4 linked regions of the Anolis sagrei genome follow. The protein of the gene in region 3 purifies or fractionates together with the protein of the main gene of each other region. This does not show direct contact. Links are inferred from orthologs where the notes say so. Each region holds a gene or a part of one and is shown on either strand. Other genes may lie near its edges. The genes, in order: NUDCD1, COPZ1, COPG2 and COPB1.

Evidence for each region.
Region 1: the proteins of COPG2 (region 3) and NUDCD1 purify together in Homo sapiens (co-immunoprecipitation; 3 studies listed by BioGRID and IntAct, with this or other methods). This does not show direct contact. The link is inferred for Anolis sagrei from reciprocal best matches to the Homo sapiens genes COPG2 and NUDCD1.
Region 2: the proteins of COPG2 (region 3) and COPZ1 fractionate together in Homo sapiens (co-fractionation; 5 studies listed by BioGRID and IntAct, with this or other methods). This does not show direct contact. The link is inferred for Anolis sagrei from reciprocal best matches to the Homo sapiens genes COPG2 and COPZ1.
Region 4: the proteins of COPG2 (region 3) and COPB1 purify together in Homo sapiens (affinity purification with western blotting; 4 studies listed by BioGRID and IntAct, with this or other methods). This does not show direct contact. The link is inferred for Anolis sagrei from reciprocal best matches to the Homo sapiens genes COPG2 and COPB1.

Annotation. Positions count from the first base shown.
Region 1 is NC_090024.1:26,949,886-26,957,576, reverse strand, and holds the start of NUDCD1 (nudC domain-containing protein 1), read right to left. Parts: upstream 3,004-7,691; 5' UTR 2,913-3,003; coding exon 2,789-2,912; intron 1-2,788.
Region 2 is NC_090022.1:188,474,500-188,481,870, forward strand, and holds the start of COPZ1 (coatomer subunit zeta-1), read right to left. Parts: upstream 3,004-7,371; 5' UTR 2,916-3,003; coding exon 2,898-2,915; intron 1-2,897. UniProt on the Homo sapiens protein: The coatomer is a cytosolic protein complex that binds to dilysine motifs and reversibly associates with Golgi non-clathrin-coated vesicles, which further mediate biosynthetic protein transport from the ER, via the Golgi up to the trans Golgi network.
Region 3 is NC_090025.1:194,475,143-194,482,485, reverse strand, and holds the start of COPG2 (coatomer subunit gamma-2), read right to left. Parts: upstream 3,019-7,343; 5' UTR 2,935-3,018; coding exon 2,898-2,934; intron 693-2,897; coding exon 640-692; intron 538-639; coding exon 457-537; intron 1-456. UniProt on the Homo sapiens protein: The coatomer is a cytosolic protein complex that binds to dilysine motifs and reversibly associates with Golgi non-clathrin-coated vesicles, which further mediate biosynthetic protein transport from the ER, via the Golgi up to the trans Golgi network.
Region 4 is NC_090021.1:250,245,656-250,252,925, forward strand, and holds the start of COPB1 (coatomer subunit beta), read left to right. Parts: upstream 1-4,255; 5' UTR 4,256-4,479; intron 4,480-7,270. Other genes in the region: PSMA1 (proteasome subunit alpha type-1), read left to right, coding at 710-766. UniProt on the Homo sapiens protein: The coatomer is a cytosolic protein complex that binds to dilysine motifs and reversibly associates with Golgi non-clathrin-coated vesicles, which further mediate biosynthetic protein transport from the ER, via the Golgi up to the trans Golgi network.

The sequences.
Region 1 (7,691 bases), on a different chromosome or scaffold from region 3:
GCGGCCTACATGAGCGGTATTATTTTATGCCCAAACAACAACAACAATTAAACAATAATTTAAAACAACATTAAAACAACCTATGTAAACATTAGACAACTATTGTGCATCGATCCAAAGTCAGATCATCCTATTCATCAATCCAAAGGCAATTCCAACTATGTTTTCATTCGGTCAGTCGTCTCCGACTCTTCGTGACCTCATGGACCAGCCCACGCCAGAGCTCCCTGTCGGCCGTCACCACCCCCAGCTCCTTCAAGGTCAGTCCAGTCACTTCAAGGATGCCATCCATCCATCTTGCCCTTGGTCGGCCCCTCTTCCTTTTACCTTCCACCTTCCCCAGCATAATTGTCTTCTCTAGGCTTTGCTGTCTCCTCATGATGTGGCCAAAGTACTTCAACTTTGTCTCTAGTATCTTTCCCTCCAGTGAGCAGTCAGGCTTTATTTCCTGGAGGATGGACTGGTTGGATCTTCTCGCAGTCCAAGGCACTCTCAGAACTTTCCTCCAACACCACAGCTCAAAAGCATCGATCTTCCTTCGCTCAGCCTTCCCTAAGGTCCAGCTCTCACATCCGTAGGTTACTACAGGGAATACCATGGCTTTGACTAGGCGGATCTTTGTTGCCAGTCTGATGTCTCTACTCTTCACTATTTTATCGAGACTGGACATTGCTCTCCTCCCAAGAAGTAAGCGTCTTCTGATTTCCTGGCTACAGTCTGCATCTGCAGTAATATTTGTGCCTAGAAATACAAAGTCTGTCACGGCCTCCACATTTTCTCCCTCTATTTTCCAGTTGTCAACCATTCTTGTTGCCAGAATCTTGGTTTTTTTGATGTTTAGCTGCAACCCAGCTTTTGCGCTTTCTTCTTTCACCTTGATTAGAAGACTCCTCAGCTCCTCCTCGCTTTCGGCCATCAGGGTGGTATCATCTGCATATCTGAGGTTGTTAATGTTTCTTCCAGCAATTTTCACCCCAGCTTTGCATTCAACAAGCCCCGCACATCGCATGATGTGTTCTGCATACAAGTTAAAAAGGTTGGGTGAGAGTATGAAGCCTTGCCGTACGCCTTTCCCAATCTTGAACCAGTCTGTTGTTCCGTGGTCAGTTCTGACTGTTGCTACTTGGTCCTTGTACAGATTCCTCAGGAGAGAGACAAGGTGGCTTGGGATGCCCATCGCACCAAGAACTTGCCACAGTTTATTATGATCCACACAGTCAAAGGCTTTAGAATAGTCAATGAAGCAGAAGTAGATGTTTTTCTGAAACTCCCTGCCTTTCTCCATTATCCAGCGGGTATTGGCAATCTGGTCTCTCGTTCCTCTGCCTTTTCTAAACCCAGCTTGTACATCTGGCAACTCTCGCTCCATGTATTGCTGGAGTCTTCCTTGCAGGATCTTGAGCATTACCTTACTGGCATGAGAAATAAGGGCCACTGTACGGAAGTTGGAGCAGTCTTTCGCATTTCCCTTTTTTGGTACGGGGATATAAGTTGATTTTTTCCACTCTGATGGCCATTCTTGTGTTTTCCATATTTGCTGGCATATGGCATGCATCACTTCCAACTATATTGCACCCATAATTATGCTGGCCGAAATGATCCCAAAGACAAGGTTTCACTCTTTTGCAAAATGACAGCAGGGAAGGGGCCAATCAAATGCCACTAGGGAGGGAGTTTCACAGCTTGAGGGGCCACCACTGAGAAGGTCCTGTCTCTTGTCCCCACCAGTCGCACCTGCAAAGGTGATGAGACCGAGAGCAGATCTTAACCTCCTTGTTGGTTCAGAGAGGGAGATACGTTTGGACAGGTAATTTGGGCCGGGGCCATTGAGGGCTTTATAGGGCAAAGCCAGTACTTTGAACTGTGCTTTGTAGGAAACTGGCAGCAAACATTATATAGCTGTGTAGATGGGGGCCACAGACAATCCTAACGCTTGTAATATGGCTCTCCCTGTTTAGATATTACTTTTACTTAATTCAGTGTTTCTCAATTTGGGGGTTGGGACCCCGGGGGGGGGGGGGGTCATGAAGGGGTTCCAGTAGGGTTGCCAAAGACCATCAGAAAACACATTTTCTGTTGGTCATGGGGGTTCAGTGTTGGAAGTTTGGCCCAATTCTATTGGTGGGGTTCAAAATACTCTTTGATTGTAGGTGAACTATAAATCCCAGCAACTACAATTTCCAAATGTCAAAGTCTATTTTCCCCAAACTCCACCAGTGTTCACATTTGGGCATATTGAGTATTTGAACAAAGTTTGGTCCAGATTCATCATTGTTTGAGTCCACAGTGCTCTCTGGATGTAGATGAACTACAACTCCCAAAACTCAAGGAAGTTGTAGTTCACCAACTTGGGTCATGGGAGTTCTGTGTGCCAAGTTTGGTTCAATCCCATCGTTGGTGGAGTTCAGAATGCTCTTTGATTCTAGGTGAACTATAAATCCCAGCAACTACAACTTTCAAATGACAAGATCAACCCCATGGATGTGTCGCTGTCTATACCAGCCATGGGCAAACTTGGGCCCTCCAGGTGTTTTGGACTTCAACTCCCACAATTCCTAACAGCCTACCGGCTGTTAGGAATTGTAGGAGTTAAAGTCCAAAACACCTGGAGGCCCCAAGTTTGCCCATTCCTGCTTTGGATCATACCTGACACTACTTTAACTATAGAATCCTGGATATCCCTTTTTTGCCAGCCCCTTTTTTAAACAGAGTCTGGCTGGCCATCTGTCGGGAGGGCTTTGATTGTGTCTTCCCGCCTGGCCAGTCTCTGGTGCTGAGATCCACTTACGGGAGTCCAGGGCGACTTGGTAAGAGGCCAGCGGCTCCAGAGACAGCTTGTAGCCCTCGAACTTGGGGTCCAAGAGGGGGCGCTTGACCCGCAGGGAGCAATTGGCCGCCGCTTTGTCCTCCATCGCTTCTTTCTTCTCCTATTAGAGGCCCAGGGAAGCCAGGACGCCTCTTCCAGCCCGCAGAGGCTTCTAGGTAGAAGAGTGCGAGCAAAGCGTTCTGGGAAGTGTAGTTTTTTGAGTGACTGCTGCTCAAGAACTACATCCGGGCCACTGAGTGGGCAACTTCTGCGTTTTGGCTGTTCTCATTCAAAGACTTGTTTATGAGGAATCCCTGAAGCACATCCACAGGGGATTAAAAGCCCATTTATTTGCCCACCTCAATAGCATTAATTAATTTTACTAATTAATTAATTACTAATTATTAATTAATTAGCAAGTTTTTGATTAGTTGATTCATAATATAACTTATTTATACATTCCATTTATTTGCACCCACCTCCAATAGCCTTAATTAATGTTACTAATTACTAATTAATTACTAATTAATTAATTCTTTATTAGTGGATTCATAATATAACTTATTTATAAATTCCATTTATTTGCCCCCGCCTCCAATAGTATCAATTTTACTAATTAATTATTAATTATACTAATTAATTACTAATTAATTAGTTCTTTCTTAGTTGATTCATAATATAACTTATTTATTCCATTTATTTGCCCCGCCTCCAATAGCCTTAATTAATTTTACTAATTAATAATTAGTTCTTTATTAATTGATTCATAATATAACTTATTTATAAATTCCATTTATTTGCCCCCGCCTCCAATAGCATTAATCAATTTTACTGACTAATGATTAATTACTAATTAATTAGTTCTTTATTAGTTGATTCATAATAGAATTTACTTATAAATCCCATTTATTTTCCCCGTCTCCAATAGTGTTGATTAATTTTACTAATTAATAATTAATTACTAATTAATTCGTTCTTTATTAGTTGATTCATAATATAACTTACTTATAAATCCTATTTATTTGCCACCACCCCAACAGCATTCATTATTTTCATTCATTAATATTAATAAGTTATCTATTATTAGTTGATTAACAATAAACTTAATTACAAATCCCATTTATTTGCCTCTGCCCCAGTAGCATCAATTTTACTCATCAATTAAATACGAATTAATTAATAAGTTCTTTATTATTGATTCATAATATAACTTAATTACAAATCCTATTTATTTGCCTACGCCACAATAGCATTGATTAATTTCACTCAATTAATTATTAATTAATAAGTTCTTTATTACTCGTTGATTCACAATATAACTAAATACAAATCCCATTTATTTGCCTCCATCCCAATAGCATTGATCAATTTTACTCAATTAATTATTAATTAATTAATACATTCTTTATTATTAGTTGATTGGCAATATAACTTAATTACGAATCCCATTTATTTGCCCCATCCCAATAACATTAATTAATGTTAGTTATTAATATTAATTAATTCTTTATTATTAGTTGATTCATAATATAACTTATTTATAAATCCCATTTATTTGCCCCTGCCCCAATAGCATTAATCAATTTTACTCATTAGTTACTATTTAATTAATTATTAGTTGATTCATAATATAACTGATTTATAAATCCCATTTATTTGCCCCATCCCATAGCATCAATTAATTTTGCTTATTAATTAATAATAATAATAATAATAATTATTATTATTATTTAGTTGATTCATTTTCTCCGTTTTAAATAAGACCCTATCCTAATATAGAACATCCAGGAGATAAGGGAGAGCTGCTTTGAGAATGCGGCCTTCTGGGACTTGTAGTTCATTTGAGACACTGGAGAACAAGGGGAGACGCAATAAAGGACTACGTTTCCCGTTCTGCTTTGCGAGGCATGAGGTCAGAACGTAGTGCGGTGGGCGGGACCCTCTTGGGCGTTTCTGCGGCTGCGCGGCGGGGAGTTGGAGGCGACTTTGGGAGGAAAGAGCCGGGAGGAAGCGAAGGGCCTCCGGGACAGGTACCTGCCTCTCTCTCACTCACTTTTTCCCATTCTCAGCTGTTTAATTGAGCTGGTCGGGGAGACCTCATTTTTAAAAGTCATAATGGTGCATCTACACCGTGAAATTAATGCAGTTTGACACCCCTTTGACTGCCAAGGCTCAGTGCTATGGAATTATGGGAGTTGTAGTTCCACAAGGGCTGTAGCCTTCTCTACCAAAGAGGGCTGAGGCCTCAGCAATCCCATGATTCCATAGCATTCAGCAAAAGCGGTTCAAGTGGTGTCAAACTTCTTAAATTCTACGGTGTAGACACACCTTCATAATTCTGATGTAGCATGAGTTCAGATTAATATAACTGCTCCTTCTTTAGGACATTTCTCAGAAAGTTTCTTTAAACATTAAATTTACTGTATATCAACATAGATACACATTCAAGTACCAAACAACATAAAGACATGAAAATGGGATATTAAATAACTAAATACTAAAATTGATATAATTGGGAAAGGCGTACAACACGGTTGCATACTCTCACCCAATGCTATGGAATTATGGGAGTTGTAGTTTCACAAGGGTTGCCCTTGAAAACGGCTCGGAAATTTCAGCTAGTTCAGCGGGCGGCAGCCAGGATGTTAACTGGGGCCCCTTACAGAGAGAGGTCAACCCTCCTGTTCAAGGAGCTCCATTGGCTGCCGTTCATTTTCCGGTCCCAATTCAAGGTGCAAGTGCTCACCTACAAAGCCCTAAACGGTTTGGGACCTGCCTACCTGCGTGACCAAACAAATACGAACCCGCACGCTCCCTTTGATCATCTGGAGAGGCCCTGCTCACGATCCCACCTGCGTCGCAGGCGCGTTTGGTGGGGACGAGGGACAGGGCCTTCTCTGTGGTGGCCCCCCGACTGGAACACCCTCCCCAAGGACATCAGACAAGCCCCAACGTTGGCTGTCTTTAGGAAGAGCTTGAAGACCTGGCTGTTCCAGTGTGCCTTTCCAGAATAGGAAACTCCTGGCATCAAGTCCCAAATGCACTTTGCTAGAGATTCAGGATTATCTGCACATTGCACCTACCACCAAATACCTCTACATATCACCTGTCAAGTTCAGAACTTTTAAAATTTTGTCCATTACATTTGGCCCGGCCTTTAGGTTTTAATTGCATCACGGTGTCATTGTTTTACTGTTTTATTGTTTTGCTTGATGTTTATTATTTGCTTATGAGTTTATTGTGTATTGTATGTTGTTGTTTGTCGGCGGCCTTGGCCTTTGTAAGCCGCATCCTTCGGGAGATTTTGCAGGGTATAAATAAAGTTAATAATAATAATAACCTATTCAACTTGTATGAATGCGATGTGTGGGGCTTGATGAATGCAAGGCTGGGGTAAAAATAGCTGGAAGAAACATTAACAACCTTAGATATGCAGATGATACCAATTTGATGGCAAGGAGGAGCTGAGGAGCTTTCTAATCAAGGTGAAAGAAGAAAGTGCAAAAGCTGGGTTGCAGCTAAATATATATATATAAGAAACAAGATTATGGCAACCAAACTGATTGATAACTGGCAAATAGAGGGAGAAAACATGGAGGCCGTGATAGACTTTGTCAAGAAATCGCGGCCAGGAAATCTGGAGACGCTTACTTCTTGGAAGGAGAGCAATGACCAATCTCGATAAAATAGTGAAGAGTAGAGACATCACACTGGCAACCAAAATCCACATAGTTAAAGCAGTGGTATTCCCCATAGTCACCTACGGATGTGAGAGATGGACTGAGTGAAGGAAGATAGACACTTTTGAACTGTGGTGTTGGAGGAAAGTTCTGAGAGTGCCTTGGACCGCAAGAAGATCCAACCAGTCCATATTTCAGGAAATAAAGCCCGAGGCTTTGGTAGTGTTCTTTCCAACGTAGTGCAATTGATTTTTTTGTCCTTCAGAAGTTTGGTTCCATCTGATGAGTGTACAGGCTGTATGCCATGGTTTCTTGGTCCATAGATGACCTTTGTGGCTTTGAAAAATCCCTGAGCATCATGGGTATCTGGAAGGAAAAAGGAAGAGGGGCCGACCAAGGACAAGATGGATGGATGGTATCCTTGAAGTGGCTGGCTTGACCTTGAAGGAGCTGGGGGTGGTGACCGCTGACAGGGAACTCTGGCATGGGCTGGTCCATGAGGTCACAAGAAGTTGGAGGCAACTGAACGAATGAACAACAAAAAATGATAATTAAATATTTTCCTAAGCCTTCCAGACAGCATTGGATAATAAAGAGAAAAAGAGAAAAAGAGGTTTGATTTTATAAAAATGTTTACTTTGCAGCGATGCAGGTTGAGTATCCCTTATCCAAAATATATTTTTAAAAACAATATCCACAATGAGATATTGATGAGACACAAGTCTAAATATGAAATTAAAACTGAAATGTGTACCTAAAATGTCTCTGCATATTAGGTACATATGCAGCTAATAGTTGCTTTGTATATGCCGCTAATAGTTGCTTTGTGCTAACTGCATCTTCAGCCCAAGAGTGCATCTGCATTGTTGAATTAATGCAGTTTATTTATTATTTATGTATTTACGTTATTTCTACTCCACCTTTCTTGAACCCAAAGGTGACTCAAGGTGGCTTTACTACATAGGCAGCTGTTTGATGCCATTAAAACAATGTAAAATTATAATAAACATTTAAAATAGAATTATAAAGTACATACATTCAAACCTTTAAAAACATATAAACCACTACCTTCACTATTAGCCTAGTTGTCCAAAAACATCATCTAAGCCATTCCAATATTCGATTTCACATAGTTCCAAAGGCTTGTTCAAAAACTCATGTTTTCACATTTCTGCGGAAGGTCTGGGGTGAGGGGGCTGATCTAA
Region 2 (7,371 bases), on a different chromosome or scaffold from region 3:
GACATATGAATGAGTCCTAGAGCAAATCAAACCTGAACTCTCCCGAGAAGTCAAGATTGCTAAACCGAGACTGTTATACAAATCATGAGAAGGTATGACTCATTAGAAAAGACAGTAATGCTTGGTAAGGTGCAAACACTTAAAGACAAAGTCCACATTCCAGGTGGTTAGACTCAAGCAAAAAAGCCACCAACTTGAGCCTGAAAAATCAGATGAGGATAGAGTGAATTGGTGGTCTCTCATTCATAGGGTTGCCATAAGTCAATGTACAGTTGGCAACAGTTAACAGCGAAGTCCATAATCTGTACAGAACTAATAGCTCAGCAACTAAACAAGGCCCCATCTAAACTGACAATTTAATTCAGTTCAATGTTCGATTCAAACTGTAGCTGCCTGATAACAAACTCCTACAAAAGTACACAAAAGAAAGCCCTTAAGCTTTGTGTAGTCACTATCCGGGCCTCCAACTGGTTCCAGGATTTCCTGGAACCAGTCAACACTGGTTTGAAACTGCATTAAACAGTCATTGTAGTTTGGATATTCTATGAAGTAAAGATAAGTCTACAACAATCATATGTGTATGGCATCGCAATCTTAAGAATGTAGTCTAAAGCTGTAAGATATAGGACACCAGCAACCTTTCCTCCTAATGTGCAATGGATTGGCCCAATATTTGTGCCCAATGACAACTGTTTCTTATTTTCCTAGACCCTCTCTAACTTGCAGATCAGCACCAGCCCATGGACTACTGCTTTGGACAACACTGCCTCTAAGTCCTGTAATAATCAAATGCTTGGTGAGTCATGTTAACTTCAGCAGTGGACACATACACACAGCCCTCATTAGTAATTGTCTGAAGCCCCAGCATTTCCTATAACAGTTTCAGGTTCTTTTAATATAGGGTTACAATGCTGCATTACAAATGAACACAAGCAACAACTTCTATGGAGGATCTCTGTGAGGAAAACTAACCAAGGCCCCTTCCACACAGCTGAATAAAATTCCACATTATCTGTTTGAACTGGAATATATGGCAGGGTGGACTCAGATAACCCAGTTCAAAGCATAAATTGTGAGATTTTCTGTCTTGATATTCTGTGTTTTATGGTGATGTGGAAGGGCCCTAAGGCCTCATCTACAAGGCCATATAATCCAGTTTCTGAATCCAATTTATCTGTTTTGAATTGTTATATGTTATATGGCAGTGTAGACTCATATAATCAAAAGCAGATAATCTGGATTCACAAACTGGATTATTTGGCAGTGTAGATCCAGCATAATGGGAGACCAATTATGGTGACAGGTTGAGTATCCCTTATTTGAAAAGCTTGAGACAAGAAGTGTTTTGGATTTTGGAATAGCTGTATTTGAATATACACCCAACATGTGGTATCTTCAAAAGCAGGGATCCCAATCTAAACATGAAATGTATATACATTGCTGGTGGTATTTTAAGCACAATATTTTTAATAATGAAAGTAAGTTCACAGAACACAGTTTGTCTGTACATAAGGTTTTAAATTCTCTGTGTTATTGTTTATATGTGAGTTATATTAATTGCACTGTTTATTTGCTTGCTGTTTTGGTTTTACTGATGTGTTGTTGGGCTTGGCCTCATGTAAGCCACCCCGAGTACCCTTGGGGAGATGGTGGTGGGGTATAAATAGTTTTTTTAAAATTATTATTATTATTATTATTATATTGTCTAAACTGAAGCACCCACAAAGAGGACAATGTCTCAGGTACTCAGGTGGATAATTTGGGAGTATTTCCAGATACCCAACAAGGGATGCTCAACCTGTACCAGCTGATGGACTCTTCTCTTGGGAGTGATCTCCCTTTTCAAGGAGGCACAATTGAGATGAATAACATAGAATCATAGAATCAAAGAGTTGGGAGAGACCTCATGGGCCATCCAGTCCAATCCCCTGCCAAGAAGCAGGAATATTGCATTCACATCACCCCTGACAGATGGCCATCCAGTCTCTGTTTAAAAGCTTCCAAAGAAGGAGCCTCCACCACACTCCGGGGCAGAGAGTTCCACTGCTGAACGGCTCTCACAGTCAGGAAGTTCTTCCTCATGTTCAGATGGAATCTCCTCTCTTGTAGTTTGAAGCCATTGTTCCGCATCCTAGTCTCCAGGAAAGCAGAAAACAAGCTTGCTCCCTCCTCCCTGTGACTTCCTCTCACATATTTATACATGGCTATCATCTTTTTGGATTGGCCGATTTGTTTCGCCTGTCACCCATGGGGATTGGAAGATGCTGGAGAAATGTAGTTCCTAGTTTATAGGGAGCAAAGGGGCACTTTATTCCTGCCTTATAATAGTTGGGAGTTCAAAGGATCCATTCACTGCAGAGGCAATGAGTGCCTTGACTAGACTTAAAAACAGTTTTGTCTTCACATTTCTGCTCTATGGTCATATAGATAAGGCTACCTCTTCAGCTGCCACGGCTCCCTGGGAGTTGTAGTTTTACAAGGCCTTGCCAATGGTCCTCAACATGTAGGTCCCCAAATGGGGCCTTCAACTCCCAGAAATCCTAACAGCTGGTAAACTGGCTGGGATTTCTGGGAGTTGTAGGCCAAAACACAATGGTTGGGAACCATTGCTTGGGCCTTCTTTGGCCAGAGGGCTGGGACCTCACCAAACTACAGCTCCCAGACTCCACAGCATTGAGCCATGGCAGCCAAAGTGGCGTCAAGCTGTCTTTAATTCCATAGCGGGGGAAGCGGCCCCTCTGTTCCCTGCTGGAGGCCCCCTTCCCAGCCCAGGCCCGGACCCAAGGAGGCCCCCAGCAACCGGCGACGGGCCCCGCCCACCGGGTCCCGTCTCCATGGCGACGGCGCGCGCCCTCGCAAGGCCCCTTCTCCCCCTCTCTTGCCCCTCCGGCTCCTACCAGGATCAGCGCCTCCATCTTGGTCGCTTCTGATGCCGACGTGGAGCACGGACCTAGCTTGCACCGGATTGGCTGGCCTCGGGCCCGTCTCTCCGTTAGGCCCCGCCTTCGCCGCGCTGAGCGACTGCTGATTGGCCGCCTCTCGACTTCCTCGTCTAACCTGCCACCTCTTTCACCAGGGCTGCCTTTTCCCTCACTGCACAACAGGGAGGGGGCGTGGCTCGCCTTGAAGCCCCGCCTCCGTTTGTGATTCGAAAACGAAGCTGTCACTCACTTGCCCTCGCTTCCCAGCTACAGGAAGGAAAGAATGCGCCAGTTTCCATGGTGAAGAGGGAAGCTCTTAAGGCAGAGGCAGGATTGGGGCCTGGCTCAGACACGTGCTTGAAATTTATTTTATTTTTATTTATTTGTCGTGTCAGGACAACCAGTCAAATTATATTACATTTCTAACAGAACAAAGCAAACAAACAGACAAAATACAAAATGTGTGAGTTTGGTCGTTGATTAAATGTCCTTTGACCAGTATCTGGCCACTTGGAGTGCCTCTGGTGTTGCTGCAAGAAGGTCCTCCATGGTGCATGTAGCAGGGGTCAGGTTGCATTGCAGCAGGTGGTCAGTGGTTTGCTCTTCTCCACACTCGCATGTCGAGGATTCCACTTTGTAGCCCCATTTCTGAAGGTTGGCTCTGCATCTCGTGGTGCCAGAGCGCAGTCTGTTCACTCAGTTTTCTGTGTGCCCAGGAGGGAGTCTCTCATTTGGTATCAGCCATTGATTTGAGGTTCTGGGTTTTAGCCTGCCACTTTTGGACTCTCGCTTGCTGAGGTGTTCCGGCGAGTGTCTCTGTAGATCTTAGAAAACTATTTCTAGATTTAAGTCATTGATGTGCTGGCTGATACCCAAACAGGGGATGAGCTGGAGATGTCACTGCCTTGGTCCTTTCACTATTGGCTGCTACTTCCCGGCGGATGTCAGGTGGTGCAATACCGGCTAAGCAGTGTAATTTCTCCAGTGCTGTAGGGCGCAGACACTCCGTGATAATGTGGCATGTCTCATTAAGAGCCACATCCACGGTTTTAGTGTGGTGAGATGCGTTCCACACTGGGCATGCATACTCAGCAGCAGAGTAGCACAGCGCAAGGGCAGATGTCTTCACTGTATCTGGTTGTGATCCCCGGGTTGTGCCAGTCAGCTTTCGTATGGTATTGTTTTTAGCACCCACTTTTTGCTTGATGTTCAGGCAGTGCTTCTTGTAGGTCAGAGCATGGTCCAGAGTGACTCCCAGGTATTTGGGTGCGCTGCGATGCTCCAGTGGATTCCTTTCCAGGTGATCTTCAGAGCTCGGGATGCTTCTCTGTTCTTGAGATGAAAGGCACATGTCTGTGTTTTAGATGGGTTGGGGATCAGCTGGTTTTCCCTGTAATAGGCAGTAAGAGCACCTAGAGCTTCGGAAAGCTTCTGTTCTACCATCTCAAAGCTCCCTGCTTGAGCAGTAATGGCACGATCGTCAGCATAGATGAAATTCTCTGTCCCTTCTGTTTGAAATAATATCATACGAAAGCTGAATGGCACAACCTGGGGATTTATTTATTTAGTGTCAAAAGCATTGCATAAATTAGTATCTATATAAATAAAAATATAATGTTCGTTTGTGGGATTAACATAACTCAAAAACCACTGGATGAAATGACACAAAATTTGGACCCAACACTCCAAACAGACCAATGAGTGACCATCACTCATACTCCCCATCCAAAAAAAAAAAAAAAAAACCAGTGGAAAGGACTTAAAACCTCCCAAAAGATAAATGACGAAAAGATAAATTACATACAGAAAAAAAGGGAAGGAAGAGGGAGAGAAGGAAGGGGAAAAGAAAGAAGGAAACAAAGAGCGAAGGACGGAAAGGTAGAGAAGGAAGAAAGAGGAAGGATGGAAAGAAATGGGGAGAGAAAAAAGGAAGGAGAGAAGGAAAGAAAAGAAAGGAAGGAAAGAGGGAGCGAAGGAAGAAGAGAAAGAAAGAGAAAGAAGGAGGGAAGGAAAGACAAAAGGAAGGAAGGAAGCAAAAAGCAAAGGAAGGAAGGAAAGAGGCAGAGAAGGAAGGAAGAAAGGGAAGGAAAAGAAAAAGGGAGGAAGGAAAGCAGAAGAAGGAAGGAAGGAGAGAAGGAAAGAAGAAAAGGGAAGGAGGGAAAGAAGGAGAGAGAGGGAGTGAATGTTGGCCACAGCAACGCGTGGCAGGTACAGCTAGTCAAACTGATAAAAATAGAAAGAGCGCAGGCGGCTAAATATCTTTTGACTAAAAATGGGCCTCCAACAATTTTTCCTCTGTACATGAGGCAGGGCATAGTGGACAAGCATACAGATGCAGAGTTGTATGTTCACACAAGGTGTGGGATTCTTTTAGTTAGTGCCATTTTGCCAGATTATCTTTTGATCTGCCCACTCCGCTTCTGAGTCTATTCAGGGACTTCCAAGTTGCCCGCTCTTGGAGGAAGACCCTCATGGAGGCCATCCAGTTGGAATTTCTTCGTTTAGCTGCCCAGAGGGATACCCTTGCTGTTGCTGGGGGGACGCCAAGAGGAGTGGTAGTTTTTTTTGGGGGGGGGGATAGCTTGTAGAGTTTGTCAACAGGTGTAAGCTTAAGACATCCTGTGATTATTCTGCATGTTTAGTTCAATGCTATGTTCACCGGCTTTGCATGGGCAGACTTATGCCAAACTTATTCCAAACAGGGCAGGCAAGGCATACTCGGCAGTTGAGTTAGACAAGGCTAGGGCTGATGTTCTTATTAATTTTGGGTCTGCACCCCATGTTCTGCCAGCACATTTCCGCAGGATGTTATTGTGTGCAGCTACTTCGTGCTTGGTGTTCAAGCAGTGTTTCCTATATGCTAGTGTTCGATCTAAGGTGACACCGAGATATTTAGGATGGAAACAGTGTTCAAGCCCTTGACCTTCTCTTGACCACAACCTGGAGATCACAACCAGAGACAATGAAGGCATCTGCCCTTATGCTTTGCTACTTTGCTGCTGAATACGCATGCCCAGTGTTATTATTGTTATTATTAATAATTATTTATTACAGTCTATGACCAGCACACTACAGAATGGAGCCCAGGGGTCCAAGGAAGGAAATCGCAGTTCCCAAGTAAGTCAGATAAAAAAGCAGATTTGTAGTTTAGGGAAGATCCAAGCAGTCCATAATCCAGGAAATAAAGCCTGACTGGAGGAAAGGATAGTAGAGGCAAAAATGAAGTACTTTTGCCACATAATGAGAAGACAGGAAAGTTTGGAGAAGACAATGATGCTGGGGAAAATGGAAGGAAAAAGGAAGACGGGCCGACCAAGGGCAAGATGGATGGATGGTATCCTTGAAGTGACTGGCTTGTCTCTGAAGTAGCTGGGGGTAATGACGGCCGACAGGGAGCTCTGGCGTGGGCTGATCCATGAGGTTACAAAGTCAGAAGCAACTGAATGAATAAACAACAAATATTAAAAGATATAAAGCTCATAAAAACAGTTCAACTAAAATAATACACCACTCCCAAAGCCCATTAATTAAAACATTTAAAAGCCTACCTGAGCAAAAAGCCATCAGACTAAACTACAAGACTGTAGAATTAATGCAACTTGATATCACTTTGGGCCCTTCCATACAGCCCTATATCAAGGCAGAAAACCCCCACATTATCTGAGTGTGGATTGAGATAACCCAGTTCAAAGCAGATATTGTGAGATTTTCTGCCTTCTGGGATATAGGGCTGTGTGGAAGGGCCCTTTGACTGTTGTGGCTCAATGCTATAGAATCACATGAGTTGTAGTTTTACGTCTTTAGCTTCTCCAACAAATAATGCTGGGGGCTCACTAAACTCCAACTATCATGATTCCATACTATAGAGCCATAGCAGCTAAAATGGAGTCAAACTGCATTAATTCTACAGTGTAAAAGAGCCCCTCTTGTGTCCCCACCAACAATGCTTGTGATGATGGTGGGGCTGTGAAGGGCTCCTTCTGATGATCTTATATTATGGTACATTGTTTCCAAGCCTTTGTGCTGTTTTTGTTTTGTTTTGGTTTTTTTTGTCATCAAAAAACAGGGAAATGCCTCTTTGAGAGGTTAGAGGCAGTAAGAGGTTTTTTCAGCCCCAATATGCAAGTGTTTAGGACCATATACCTTTAAGGTTTGCTCACCACTGGAATGCCTCCACACACACCTATGATGATTTCCTAAACCTTTGTTTTAAGGTCTTTTGTACAGATACCATTCAAGCCAACCCCTATCTGTAGAAGTGTAACAAAATCTTCATAGGTGTCTCGCCACCAGAGGGCAGATGAATAACTTCAAAGGAAAGCCCCTAGAAATATTCATGAGGCCACATGGTTTCTGGAAGTGGTGCATTTGCAGACAGTGTTGAAAAATCTCCACTGCTAGGAACAGCAAGAAAAGCAGGGCAATCACCAGCATTGAAGGACGATTCTCT
Region 3 (7,343 bases):
TCTGTGCAACCTTGTTTCCTGGCTTTTCAAGAGACTTTGGACATTATCCTTTGTGGGTTTTAAGGACTATGCATTCGTGGATTTTGCTGTGGAAATAAGTATCAACTATGCTGTATTGATGGACTGTATTTGCTGACCTGCTGGGTCAGATGGTTTTTAGACTTTCTTATACAACTTTTTACTTGCCTTTTTCACCTTTCTTGATACTGCTTGCATTTATTCAAATAAACTGTTTATTTGCTAAAGAACTTTGGAGTGTTTGTGGGTTTAAAGGTGTGCTTCCAGCCTTGGTGTGCGACAGGTGGAATGTTAAATAACCTCTGTGTGTTTGTCTATATATGTTGTTTGTCTATGGCATTGAATGTTTCACATGCATATGTACACTGTAATCCGCCCTGAGTCCCCTGCGGGGTGAGAAGGGCGGAATATAAATACTGTAAATAAATAAATAAATACCTGGTTCAGCAAGTAAAGGATCTTGGTCAGGATGTGCAGGCATCTCCGTGGGTTGATAGGGGTCTCGTTAAAGATCCGAGCCTATGGGGAGATGGACAAAAATAATGCAGGAAATACGTACAGGGAGAGTTGAAGGACGCACATCCTGTACTTCTGAGATGCAATGAAAGGGCCCGGCCTCACCTCCTGAAGGATGGCGCTCTTCTCCAGATGCTGGAAAGGGTTGGAGCCGCTCCCTGAGGAAGAAGGGAAAGAAGCACATCATTATCCACATTATCCAGTTTTTTGGTTTTTTTTGGTCGTGTCAGGGGTGACTTGAGAAACTGTAAGTCACTTCTGGTGTGAGAGAATTGGGCGTCTGCAAGGATGTTGCCCAGGGGACGCCTGGATGATTTGATGTTTTTATCATCCTTGTTGGAGGCTTCTCTCATGTCCCCATATGAGGAGCTGGAGCTGATAGAGGGAGCTCATCCGCCTCTCCCCGGATTCGAACCTGCGACCTGTCGGTCTTCAGTACTGCTGGCACAGGGGTTTAACCAGTAATAAATAGAGATGGGGAAGAATCTTTGGCTAATATCCCCATTAAAGGAGCCACACATCTTCCGGTCTGGCTCTACGGTAGGCATGGGCAAACCTGGGCCCTCCAGGTGTTTTGGACTTCAACTCCCACAATTCCTAACAGCCAGTAGGTAGAAGGTGTTGCATCCTAGAACAGGAACGGGACTCTCTAATCATTAATTACACCACACCTTGAATGAAGGAAGAGTCCTTTTTATTTTAAGAATAACTGGAACCAATAAAAGAGATGATTATAAAAATTTCATCTTATTATAAAAATAAGCAAAAAGCCAAATAAAGCAGCAACATAAGCAGTGTCCAAACAAAGGAATTATATCCATGTCCCAACCTCGCAGAAATAATCCACAGGCAATGAATAACCAAAAAGACTTTAGAATAAACCCATGAACAGACTAGCCACTGCTAATCCACTTGAAAAGCCGTGAATCCTTAGAGACAAAGCCACATGAAAAAGGAATATCCAGGAGACTTGAGTTTGATTCCAAACAGTGCCTGGTCTAAAGAAAATTCTCTAAGAGCTCAATTTAAGTCCCAAAAACTGGTTCCTACTCCCCCCTGTTTTTGGCCTTAACTGCCGAATTCTTTCTGACCTGCGTAAACATTGGGCCTCTCAATGGTTCTGGCTGATCTGGCATCGATATTCCTTCGCTCAGCCTTCCCTAAGGTCCAGCTCTCACATCCGTAGGTTACTACAGGGAATACCATGGCTTTGATTAATTATTTAATTATTTAATATTATTAATTATTCCTACTATTATTATTATTCCTATTATTAGTATTATTATTAATTATTCCTACTATTATTATTATTCCTATTATTATTACTTATTCCTACTACTATTATTATTATTAATTATTCCTATTATTATTATTATTATTAATTATTCCTCCTATTATTATTATTCCTATTATTATTATTCCTACTATTATTATTATCCCTATTATTATTATTATTATTATTCCTACTATTATTATTAATTATTATTATTCCTACCACTATTATTATTATTCCTACTATTATTATTAATTATTCCTATTATTATTATTCATATTATTATTATTAATTATTCCTACTATTATTATTATTCCTATTATTATTACTTATTCCTACTACTATTATTATTATTAATTATTCCTATTATTATTATTATTAATTATTCCTCCTATTATTATTATTCCTATTATTATTATTCCTACTATTATTATTATCCCTATTATTATTATTATTCCTACTATTATTATTATTAATTATTCCTATTATTATTATTCATATTATTATTATTAATTATTCCTACTATTATTATTATTCCTATTATTATTATTATTCCTACTACTACTATTATTATTAATTATTCCTATTATTATTATTATTCCTATTATTATTATTCCTATTATTATTATTTATTCCTATTATTATTATTATTCCTACCACTACTATTATTATTATTCCTACAATTATTATTCCTATTCTTATTATTTTTATTATTCCTATTATTATTATTAATTATTCCTACTATTATTATTATTATTCCTATTATTCCTACAATTATTATTCCTACTATTATTAATTATTCCTATTATTATTATTATTATTATTCCTACTATTATTATTATTATTCCTATTATTATTTTTATTATTTATTAAGGACAAGCAGGACACGCCTCTTTCATGCTCTCCTCTGAAGACACGCCCCTGGGGGCGTGGCTTCAGCCCTGGGGCGTGGCTTGAGGCCTAAGTTCCTCTCTATGTACGGGGCCGCCTGGCCTTTATCCCAAGGGGCTTGCCAATCTGCCTAGCAACGGGGCCTACCTCGAAAGGCTTGCCACCTTAGCGACGCCAGCCCTCCCAGCCCGTCTCTTACCAGACTCCTCATCCTTCTTGTCGAACTTCTTGATCATGGCGGCGGCCGGCTCGGCTTCTGGCCGCCGAGTTCGAGCTTCCACCGCTCACAAATCCGGGAAGGAAGTCCCGCCTTCCCACTGGATGCACGCTTCCATTGGCTAGAAGGCGCTGTCACTCAAAACTTCAGGGCCACGCCCATTCGTCCCTCTCAACTGCTGACATCAGTCTGTATTTGCATACAGCACGCCCCCTTCCTTTGTAGCCACGCCCACACGGAAGGGAAGGAGAAATACAGTACGTCAGTCTTGATTTGCGTATGGCCCGCCCCTTCTCCCTTGTAGCCCCGCCCACAAGGAAGCAACCAGCCTGATTTAAAGGGGCCGCAGCATATATTTACACTCCTTTTGTTTATTGATTCTAGGGAATCAATAAGGCGGTCAATGGGGAAGCTTTTGACCCTCCATCTCCCATCATCCCCATTCAGCAAGGATCATGGGAGTTGCAGTTCAGATTATCCACAACTCTTGAAGGTAAACACTTAACCCTTGGCATCACTTCTTTTTTGGAGTCCAAATTACAGTTAATGGTGCATCTACACTGTGGAATTAACACAGTTTGATACCACTTCAAGCTGCCCCAGTTCAATGCTGTGGAATGCTGGGAATTGCAGATTTTCCAGCATAGTAAGTGGCTCATGGGAGCTGCAGTCCAGATTATCCACAACTCTTAAAGGCAACCATTTAATCCTTGGCATCACTTCTTTTTTGCAGTCCAAATTACAGTTAATGGTGCATCTACACTGTGGAATTAACACAGTTTGATACCACTTTAAGCTGCACCAGTTCAATGCTGTGGAATGCTGGGAATTGCAGATTTTACAAGGCCTTCCGTGACCTTTTCTTCATTCCACGGAACTCCCAGTATTACCAAGCACTATTAGAATAGTTTGACCATTTCTGCTCCCTTGGCAGCTACCTCTCCACAAAAGTCAACATTGACACTGAAAGACAACACCGCCTGAGCTCTGCGAGTGCAGCATTCTTCCAAATGAAGCAGAGAGGGTTACTCCGAACGCAAGATCGGAAAACGAAATGTTGGTGGGCAGGAAAAGAGATTGAAAGATGAGTTCAAAGCCAACCTTAAAAACTCTGGCATAGATATTGAGAATTGGGAAGCCCTGGCTCTTGAGCGTTCCAGCTGGAGGTCAGTTGTCACCAGCAGTGCTGTATCATAGAATCAAAGAGTTGGAAGAGACCTCATGGGCCATCCAGTCCAACCCCCTGCCAAGAAGCATTCAAATCACCCCTGACAGATGGCCATCCAGCCTCTGTTTAAAAGCTTCCAAAGAAGGAGCCTCCACCACACTCCGGGGCAGAGAGTTCCACTGCTGAACAGCTCTCACAGTCAGGAAGTTCTTCCTCATGTTCAGATGGAATCTCCTCTCTTGTAGTTTGAAGCCATTGTTCCCTTGCGTCCTAGTCTCCAAGGAAGCAGAAAACAAGCTTGCTCCCTCCTCCCTGTGGCTTCCTCTCACATATTTATACATGTCTTTCATATCTCCTCTCAGCCTTCTCTTCTTCAGGCTAAAAATGCTCAGCTCCTTAAGCCGCTCCTCATAGGGCTTGTTCTCCAGAGCCTTGGTCATTTTAGTCGCCCTCCTCTGGACACATTCCAGCTTGTCAATATCTCTCTTGAATTGTGGTGCCCAGAATTGGACACAATTCTGTAGGATTTGAAGAGGCACAAATGGAGGGCGAAAGGGAGAAACGTGCCAACAGGAAGGCGCATCAAGCCAACCTCAACTAGGACCACCTTCCTCCAGGAAACCAATGCCCTTGTAAGGGATCAAGGGTTTAGGGTGCAGGGTCCCTTTTCGAAGAAATCCACAGTCTAATTGGTTCATGTGAGACCCCATTTATTCAAGCTGATCGACATGAGACGGACAGACAGCACTTTTGTTTGTGCTTTAACAGACTGCCACACCCCCTTGGCTTTTGTACACCGTTATATACTCAAGTAATACAAGGGATTACTAGTACTCTCTTTCCAGCCCCCCTCCCTTGACCTTTTGATGGAAAGTACCTTCTTGTACCTGCAGACTCTGCGCTTAACTGCAACCTTTGCACTTAACCACAACCCAACTTCCTATGTAAGCTTGAACTTTGTATGACCTCTACATGATGCCTCTTGTTTTTAAAACATTTTCTTCCGTGTTGTTCCTTTTCTACAGAGATAGGGTATATTTCTCTTTTGTTGTTAATTTCATTCAAAGCCCCTTGCTTAGCATTTGCAAATTTCACTCAAAGACCCTTTCACCCTCACTGCGGGAGAAGATGCGGGTCAAGAATAGGGCTCCCCAGTCAGCTACGGACACTGATCTTGGAAGACAATCCTACTCAGACAATGAGGGATTGCCTAAGTAAGTAAGTTACTCTCCAGGTTAAGTTTGCACAAATCCAGGATTTCCTAAAATGAAACCTATCTAAACTTGGCTGTCTATTTATACTGTCCTGGCAGTCAGAATGGCTGTTGCCAATAAACATGGCTATTGTTTCCAGGACACGGATTCAACAGATCAAGCCAGGGAAAGAGAAATGCTTGCGCAAAAGCATAACAATCCTGAGGTTTACTTAATGTAATGCACTTTTTGCATTTTCATGATAACTCCCTGAATACGGTCACCTCTCCGTATCCATGGAGTCAACCATCAGCAGCTTGAAAATAGTGTTGCATAATATCTTTGCAGAAGCCTGTGGGGAACTTGGCCTCTCACTGAACATCAAGAAAACTAAAATATTCTTCTAACACCAGAAGGCACCAACCAATCCCTCCGCAATGCCAGAAATACAGCTTAATGGTGTAACGCTAGAAAATGGGTTGCTATGAGTTTTCCGGGCTTTCTGGCCATTTTCCAGCAGCATTCTCTCCTGACGTTTCGCCTGCATCTGTGGCGAGTGGCATCTTCAGAGGTCTGTTGGAAGTGAAGCAAGTGGAGTGTATATATCCCTATGGAATAATGTCCCGGGTGGGAGGATCTCTTTGAAGCGAGTGTGAATGTTGCTTCAATTCCGTTGGACTGGCCACCTTGTCCAGATGCCTGACCGCCGTCTCCCAAAGCAGTTGCGCTACTCCAAACTCAAGAATGGAAAACGGAATGTTGGTGGACAGGAAAAGAGATTTAAAGATGGGCTCAAAGCCAACCTTTAAAACTTTGGCATAGACACGGAGAACTGGGAAGCCCTGGCGCTCCAGCTGGAGGTCAGCTGTGACCAGCAGTGCTGCAGAATTTGAAGAGGCATGAATGGAGGGCGAAAGAGAGAAACATGCCAAGAGGAAGCCCAACCCCGACCGGGACCACCTTCCACCTGGAAACCGATGCTCTCACTGTGGGAGAAGAGGTAGCTCAAGAATAGGGCTCCACAGTCACCTATGGACCCACCTCCAGTACACCCAACTTGGAGGACCATCATCCTTGGACTACAAGGGATTGCCTAAGTAAGTAAATAAGAATGTTGCAACTAACCAAGTCCTTTCTCCCACCCAGGACATTCCATAGGTGTAGTCTTCCCTCGCTACTTCACGGTTCGCTTTTAGCAGACTCGCTGTTTCGCGGTTTTTAATTAAATATGAATTGAAAATATATATCACAGTATTTTCGCGGTTTCGCGGGTTTTTTCTGCTGCCGCTTTCCGAGGCGCTTTCCCTCCTCAGTCCTCTCTCTCTCCTACCTTGAAGGCCTTTCCTTTCTTTCCTGCGCTCTCTCTCTCTCTTCACCTGGTGAAGCAAAAGGCGAGGAGGGCTAAGTGAGCGAACACTGCATATATACTCCACGTGTCTCAGTAGCAACAGAATCTCTGATGATACCACTAGCCGCAGATGCAGGTGAAATGTCAGGAGAGAACGCTGCTGGAACATGGCCATACAATGCATGTGGTAGGCCAAAAAATGTACAGCAACTGTCACGATGCTAGGGCTCTGCCAATATTTAGGCAGAGATGAACCAAACTCCCAGTTTTTGTTAAACAATTTAATTAAAACAGCACTTACTTTCTGGCTGTTTTAATAGTCCAAAACATAAAACATAAAGATAGCCACAGAATATAAATAAAGTGTTATTCAAGTGTTATGACCATGCTGTTACATCCCGAATAGATTACTGCAACACACTCTACGCAGGGTTGCCTTTGAAGACTGTTCGGAAGCTTTAACTAGTCCAACGGGCAGCAGCCAGATTGCTCACCGGAGCATCATACAGGGAGCGCACCACCCCCTACTATGTCAACAGCTTTTTCAGCAATGGTTTTATGATAGCTTGTTTTAAGCTTGCTGGAAACTTTCCCTCCTGTAAGGAGGCATTAACTACCACCTTCACCCACTCTGCCAAGCCCCCTCTGGCTTCTTTTATCAGCCAGGATGGACAGGGGTCTAGGATGCATGTGGTAGGCCTCACTTCCCCAAGGATCCT
Region 4 (7,270 bases), on a different chromosome or scaffold from region 3:
CTATTTGAGGTCCTTCAAAGATTAGATGATAGCAAAGATACTTCTGTGTTGGCAGCATCTCTTCTGCCAAATGCTCTATCCAGGGTAGCACACCTGGTATTTACTTTGCTCTTTTTGCACCAGACAAATGTTTTGTCCTTTATCTAGCCTTAATTGGCTTTCCTCGTTTTTGAAACATGGATGAAATGAGTGTCTACAACTGTTCTGTTGTTCAATAATTCAATAGGAAATGGCAGACTCCCCCCCCCCCCAGATCTGAAGGGATACCCCAATATTTGTCGGCACATTTTGAATGTTGGGTGCCACAGTTTAGAAGCTGAAATTGTTAGTAAACACATTTCAGTTACTAAACACTAACAGGCTATTCTGGACTGACTTCATTGGATTTTTCAATCACAAAATCACATTTATCAATAAAACGTTTGGTTGGAGGTAACTGGAATTTCCGCTCAATATTTTTTTATTAGAAGATTAAACATTTAGTTAAAATAGTACTGCATATGAATTAAATAAACAAATTCTGACAAAAAATGAAACCATTTGACTTTGAATAAAGAAAAATGGAAAATTGAAGATTAGATCTTATACCCAGTTCTGTAGCTTTTATATTGAATAAAGATTGCAGCATTTCATTACGAGATTTTCTTTTACAGTTTGGGATCAGTGAAGCTTAAAAGTGTAACACTTGCCTATTTTTTATCTTTTTAAGACTGCTCAACCTGCTGAGGAAACAGCAGAAAAGCCTGAGGAGCCAATGGAGCACTAAATACTGCGCACAAAATATGGGGTTTATTCCAATTGCAGCACTGCTGGGAGTCTTCATTTGTATTCTGGCAACTTAACTCTGAGATGAATGCGTATTGTAGTGACATGTTATAGTGAGTCAGTCTTCAAAATGTATTGCCAAAAATCTTGACACTGGCAGTGGGGAATTAATAAACTGACCATTTATCTTGACAAGAAAAGCTGTCATTTTCTTTAAAAAAAAGTATGGAATACTGTTTTATATAAAAAGTTGCTTTTTTAAAGGCATCTGTTAATAAATCTTTCTTTCCTGAAATGTCTTGTTTTAGCTTTTTTTATCTGATTAGTCAGAGAAACATCAGCCAGTCATTTAATACTATAATTCGTATTGCCATGATGTTCACTTTGGTTTTGTGAAATGGTTTCATTTTACAAAGGGAGTAACTTTCAAAAACCAGACAATATTGAAGAACTTAAATAATTCAGCATAGTCAAGCATTTTTGACTTGTATGAAACAATAGTTAACTATTTGTTTCATACTAAAGATCCAATGATTTAAATAATGAATGCTGCATTGTCTTTATTTTTCTTCTGTTTGTAATCCAGGCCCTTGTTATGAGAACATGTTTGGTATAGTGGTTTGAGCATTAGTCTATAGTTTAAATTTCTGCTCATCCATAAAACTCACAGGGTCACTTTGGGGAAATTAAACTTTCTCATCTTCAGAGAAAGGCAATGGCAAACCCCTGAACAAATTTTGCCAGGAAAACTCTTTTATAGGTTCGCCTTACATTCACTGTAATGTTCTGAAAGCACACAACAACAATATAAGCGGTCCTAGTCATGTGGACTCTTTCAGTGTTGTAATAGGTGTTGACAGTGCAGAAAGAAAAAAATGGTTTCTTGTGGAATATATACCTATATAAATGGCTGGAGTTGCACTTAAAATGTTCTTACTTACATACAAATTCAACTTAAGAACAAACCCACAGAATCTATCTTGTTTGTAACTTGGGGACTGCCTGTACTGTATATGAACTATGAATGGTAACACTGAAAATACAGTAAATGATAGGGAAAGAATAACTGCCATATTACACCAGTGCTGCAACATTTACATTGGCTTCCAACTGAGTACCGTGGCCTGTATAAGATGTTAGTTCTGACCTTTAAAATTCTTTACGGCCAGGGTCCATCGTACCTTAGGGACCGTCTCTCATTCTCCCATCATCAGAGGTCGCAACGACCATCCCAACATGACTTACTTTATATACCAGGTCCTAGAGAAGTGCACCTGGAAAGGACCAGATGCAGAGCTTTTTCTATTTCTGCCCCTGCCTTGTGGAATTCCTTGCCGCCCTGAGAGCCATTCGTGAGTTAGGGCCTTTTACCCTAGCACTTAAGACCTGGCTTTTTACTAGAGCATTTGATCTATGTTAATTTTATCAATATCTGTATGTATGTATTTTTATCCTTTACAATTTCAGCTTGTAAATCGCCAAGAGCATCTTGGATGGAGGGCGATTAATAAGTAATTAAATGATGATGGTGATGATGATGATGAAAGAAGAGAAAGCAGTAATGCCTTTTCCCCTTGAGCATTTTGAATGGCTTGGAGCAATTGTTTCAGTTTAAATCTTTATAAACTAGCCCATTTCATTATATATCTTCTTTCTTTGCTTCCATTCTCATGACAAACAGCCAGCCTCTTGCTCTTCCCCTCTTAACCCTCTTTATATGTGGCAAGGGGTATTGTTGTCTGAGCTCTGACATTTCACCATAGTAGTATCATTTCTACTCTGTAGTACACAACTGGAGCATCATATTCCTTATTCACTACTGTAATTTATTGATCCCAAGGGCGGGGGGATCAACATTAAATAATGGAGAAAATGACAAAAAAAAGGAAAAACATTCTATACAGGTGTGATTCCTGTCTACAGTTAAAACTTAACTACACAAAGCAAACATCACAACGCCCTTCTAAAATAGAAATTTATTACAATAAACAGTGCGTAACTAATTGAAACTAAAACACAGAAGAACTTGATTATTTATTTACAGTATTTATATTCCGTCCTTCTCACCCTGCAGGGGACTCAGGGCACATCACAATGCACATATACATGGCAAACATTCAATGCCATAGACACACAACATATATAGAAAGACACACAGAGGCTATTTAACTTTCCAGCTTCACGAGGGTATGATCGAATTCCGGCCACGGTGGAGTTGTTGTTTCACCGTGCACACTGCTGGAGATTTTTTCAAATGCCATCGTAAATTAGTTAAATTAGCCTCCCCGCATAAGTGGTACTTAAATTTCCTACTTGACAGATGCAACTGTCTTTCGGGCTGCAAAGGTCGACAGCAAGATAGACAAATGGTCAGGAGCTTACTCCGACCCCAGCTGGCTTCGAACTTGTGACCTTTCGGTCAGTAGTGATTTTAATGCAGCTGGCTCCCAACCAGCTGCGCCACAACCCAATCCCCTTTATTTATCGTGTCAGGAGTGAACCAAAACAATTGTATTGCATTAAAAACAAATGAACAGACAGACAAAACACAAAGTTTGCAGACTTGGTATTCTATTAAATGTCCTTTGACCAGTAGCTGGCCACTTGGAGTGCCTCTGGTGTTACTGCAAGGTCCTCCATTGTGCATGTGGCAAGGCTCAGGTTGCATTGCAGTAGGTGGTCTGTGGTTTGCTCTTCTCCACACTCACATGTCGTGGATCCAACTTTGTAGCCCCATTTCTTAAGGTTGGCTCTGCATCTCGTGGTGCCAGATCGCAGTATGTTCAACGCCTTCCAAGTCGCCCAGTTTTCTGTGTGCCCAGGAGGGAGTCTCTCATTTGGTAGCAGCCATTGATTGAGGTTCGGGGTTTGAGCCTGCCGCTTTTGGACTCTCGCTTGCTGAGGTGTTCCAGCAAGTTTCTCTGTAGATCTTAGAAAACTATTTCTTGATTTAAGTCGTTGGCATGCTGGCTGCTATCCAAACGCGGTGGGCTGGAGATGTCACTGCCTTAGTCCTTTCACTATTGGTTGCTACTACCCGGCCGATGTCAGATGGTGCAATACTGGCTAAACAATGTAATTTCTCCAGTGGTGTAGAGCGCAGACATCCCACGATAATGTGGCATGACCCAATCCCCTGATAGAAGCTATAATAGATGAGGGGGAGAGACAATTTTTAAGACTATCGGACATGGGCAAACTTGGGCCCTCCAGGTGTTTTGGACTCCCAACTCCCACAAGGCCTAACGGGGAAAAGGAAGGGGCCTGAGGCTGTTAGTCCTTGTGGGAGTTGGGAGTCCAAAACACCTGGAGGGCCCAAGTTTGCCCATGCCTGGACTATATTATGCAGTACTACCATTACAGATCTTTGCTGCACTGAGCTGGATGCGACAACCCGCTTGGCCCCGCCCCGGGCGCGAGGGACGCGGAAGAGGCCGCGCTTTCCCCCTCTGGAGGCAGCACGCCTGTTCCGCGAACGGAGGAGGCGTGTCCCAATCGGGCCGCCGTAGTTCCGATGTGGCCTGTGCGCGGAGGGCTGCTTCCACGTCAGCTGGAGGAGTCGGGAGCAGGAAGGCGGCGGGAGCGGCGGGGGAAGTGAGCGGCGGAGGGAGGATAGTGGTAGTGGCCGCCGCGGGAAGATAGCACCCGATTGCCTGCAGCCACCCGGAGGCTCCCTGGGCGAGGGCAGGCCCACACGGAAAGGACGGAGCGGCGGTGAGTTGTATCCGCGTCTGACTGGGAGGAGAGGCCGCGGACCCTGGGCTCGCTTGCTCGCTCTCACACACATACACTCACGCTGGGCCTTCTCTCCCTTTCCGAAGGCCCAGCTTTGCGAAGCCTAGGAGCCGCCAGCCAAACCAACCCAGGGCCGAAAGCAGAACTTCCACAGGATCCCCGCTATTTGGAGCATTGTCCGCTGGATCCCGCGAATTATTCCTGCGGGGAGACTCCGAGTCGTTTCTGAGTCATGGCGACTCTAAAGCTTCAGGTTTCCTTGACAAGATTAATTCAAAGTGGATTTGAATGTCCCTCCTCTGAAGCCGAGAGAGTGTGACTTGCCCAGCGTCACTCATTGCCTTTCCTTGGCTGAGCAGGGGTGCAAACCCTGGTCTTCAGACTCTCAGGGTGCATCTAGACCAGGCATGGACCAACTTCCCTCCAGGTGTTTTGGACTCCAACCACCACAATCCCTAGTAGCCTTATGGCTAGCGTCGGAAGAGATCCATGGGTCATCCAGTCCAACCCCCTGAAAGGGAGGAAAACACAATCAAAGCACTCCCAACAGATGGCCATCCAGTTTCTGCTTTTAGACCTCCAGAAGAGGAGATAAGCCAGTCATGGGCAAACTCAGCTTAAGCAGCTGAGGGGGAAAAGGAAAGGGCCTGAGGCTGTTAGGTATTGTGGGAGTTGGAGTCCAAAACACCTGCAGTGATGGCCAAAGTGTTGTTGAAGGCTTTCATGGTCAGATTCACTGGGTTTCTGTGAGTTTTCCAGGCTGAATGTCCCTGTTCCAGAAGCATTATCTCCTGACGTTTTGCCCACATCAATGGCAGGCATCCTCAGAGGTTGTGAAGTCAGTTAGAAACTATTTATTTATTTATTTATTTATAACTCTTGTGTGCCGTTCTTCTCTACCTCCGTAGAGGGACTCAGGACGGCAAACAGCAACATTCAATGCTACGCAATAAATAGTATAATAAAACAACATACAATAAATAAGTTCTAAAATACATATAAAAACAATTCATCACATTAAAACAACGTCCAACTCAGTCCAAAACATTGTGGCCAAATTACTCTTAGTCTATATCCAATCATCCATCAATCTGCAAATGCCTGAGCCCACAGGCAGGATTTTAGCTGCTTCCTGAATGACAGGAGAGAGGGGGCAGACCTAATCTCACCAGGGAGAGAGTTCCATAGTCCGGGGGGGGGGGGGGGAGCTACCACAGAGAAGGCCCTGTCTCTCGTCCCCACGAAACGCCCCTGCGGAGGTGGTGGGACCGAGAGCAAGGCCTCTCTAGAAGATCTTGTAATCCTCAATGGTTTATCGGGGAAGATACGTTTGGCCAGGTAAACCGAGCCCAAGCTGTATAGGGTTTGGTAGGTTAAAACCAGCACTTTGAATTGTGCTCTGAAGCGAATTGGCAGCCAGTGGAGCTGGTGTAACGGGGGGGGGGGGGTGTGCACTCCCTGTACCCAGCTCTCGTGAGCAACCTGGCTGCAGAGCGTTGGACTAATTGGAGCTTCTGAACAGTCTTCAAAGGCAACCCCAAGAAACTAGGCAAGTGAGGTTTATATATCTGTGGAATTGTACTCTTACAACCACCATGTCAGACTACACAGAAAAGCCAGAGCAATCCACAAGCATGTGGACAGTTTCAACAGAAAGGAGGAAACCATGAAAATGAACACTATCTGGCTACCAGTCTTTTTTGAAACAAACTCTAAAATCATAACAGCAAATAAAGAACAACACTCAGAAAACAGGATTTCTAAACAAGGATAAATGAGGGCCAGCTAACAGCTCCCAACAAAGGATTCCCCCACGCAGCAACCAGCCAGGCCTTGAAACTTCAGGTCATTAAATGCTCATCAAGGTGGCTAATAATAATAATAATAATAATAATAATAATAATAATAATGGTAATGGGTTAAACCCTTGTATTGGAAGGACTGCTGATCGAAAGATCGGTGGTACAAATCCAGAGAGTGGGGTGAGCTCCTGTCTGTCAGCTCCAGCTTCCCATGCGGGGGCATGAGGGAAGCCTCTCACGGGATAGTAACACATCCGGGCGTCCCCTGGGCAACAGCCTTGCAGATGGCCAATTCTCTCACACCAGAAGTGACTTGTAGTTTCTCAAGTTGCTCCTGACACACACACACACACACACACACACAAACAAACCCATAAATCTTTCTTATAGCCTACTCTACTGTCCTTGTTTTGCCCTCTTGACTTTGTTGATCTTTTCCAGATGTGTTGAATGTTCTTCCATCTTTCCTAGCTGGCACAGCTATATATTTTAAAATAAGTCATTCACAGTGGTTTCTTTAAATCTATTGAAATTTTAAGTATATATTTCAGTCTAACCGTTATAATGGTGGATCGTAAGGTGCTCAGTTTTGATCCTGCCCTTTTATTTTAATGAGATGTATAGTCACTTATGTTTCTGTAGTATCTTCCTTATGTGTGCACTCCTTATCAGAAAAGGCTTGATATTGTAGTCATTTATTAAGGTAGCTTTGTAACAATATAAATTTGTTTATTTTCCATTGCTACTATATTTTAACACTTGTGCAATGTGCGTATGACACAGATAAATTGTGTACATATTTATCTGATAATATATCATATGATAGTACCCCTTGCTGAATCTAAAGGGGCTTGCTTCTGAATAGGTTTGCATTAGGCTGCAGCCTTGATTTTCTCAATAGGGTTAAGGTTACATGCTTGTATTGCACATTAATTGGATTGTTTACTTTAAAATTATTGGTACATCGT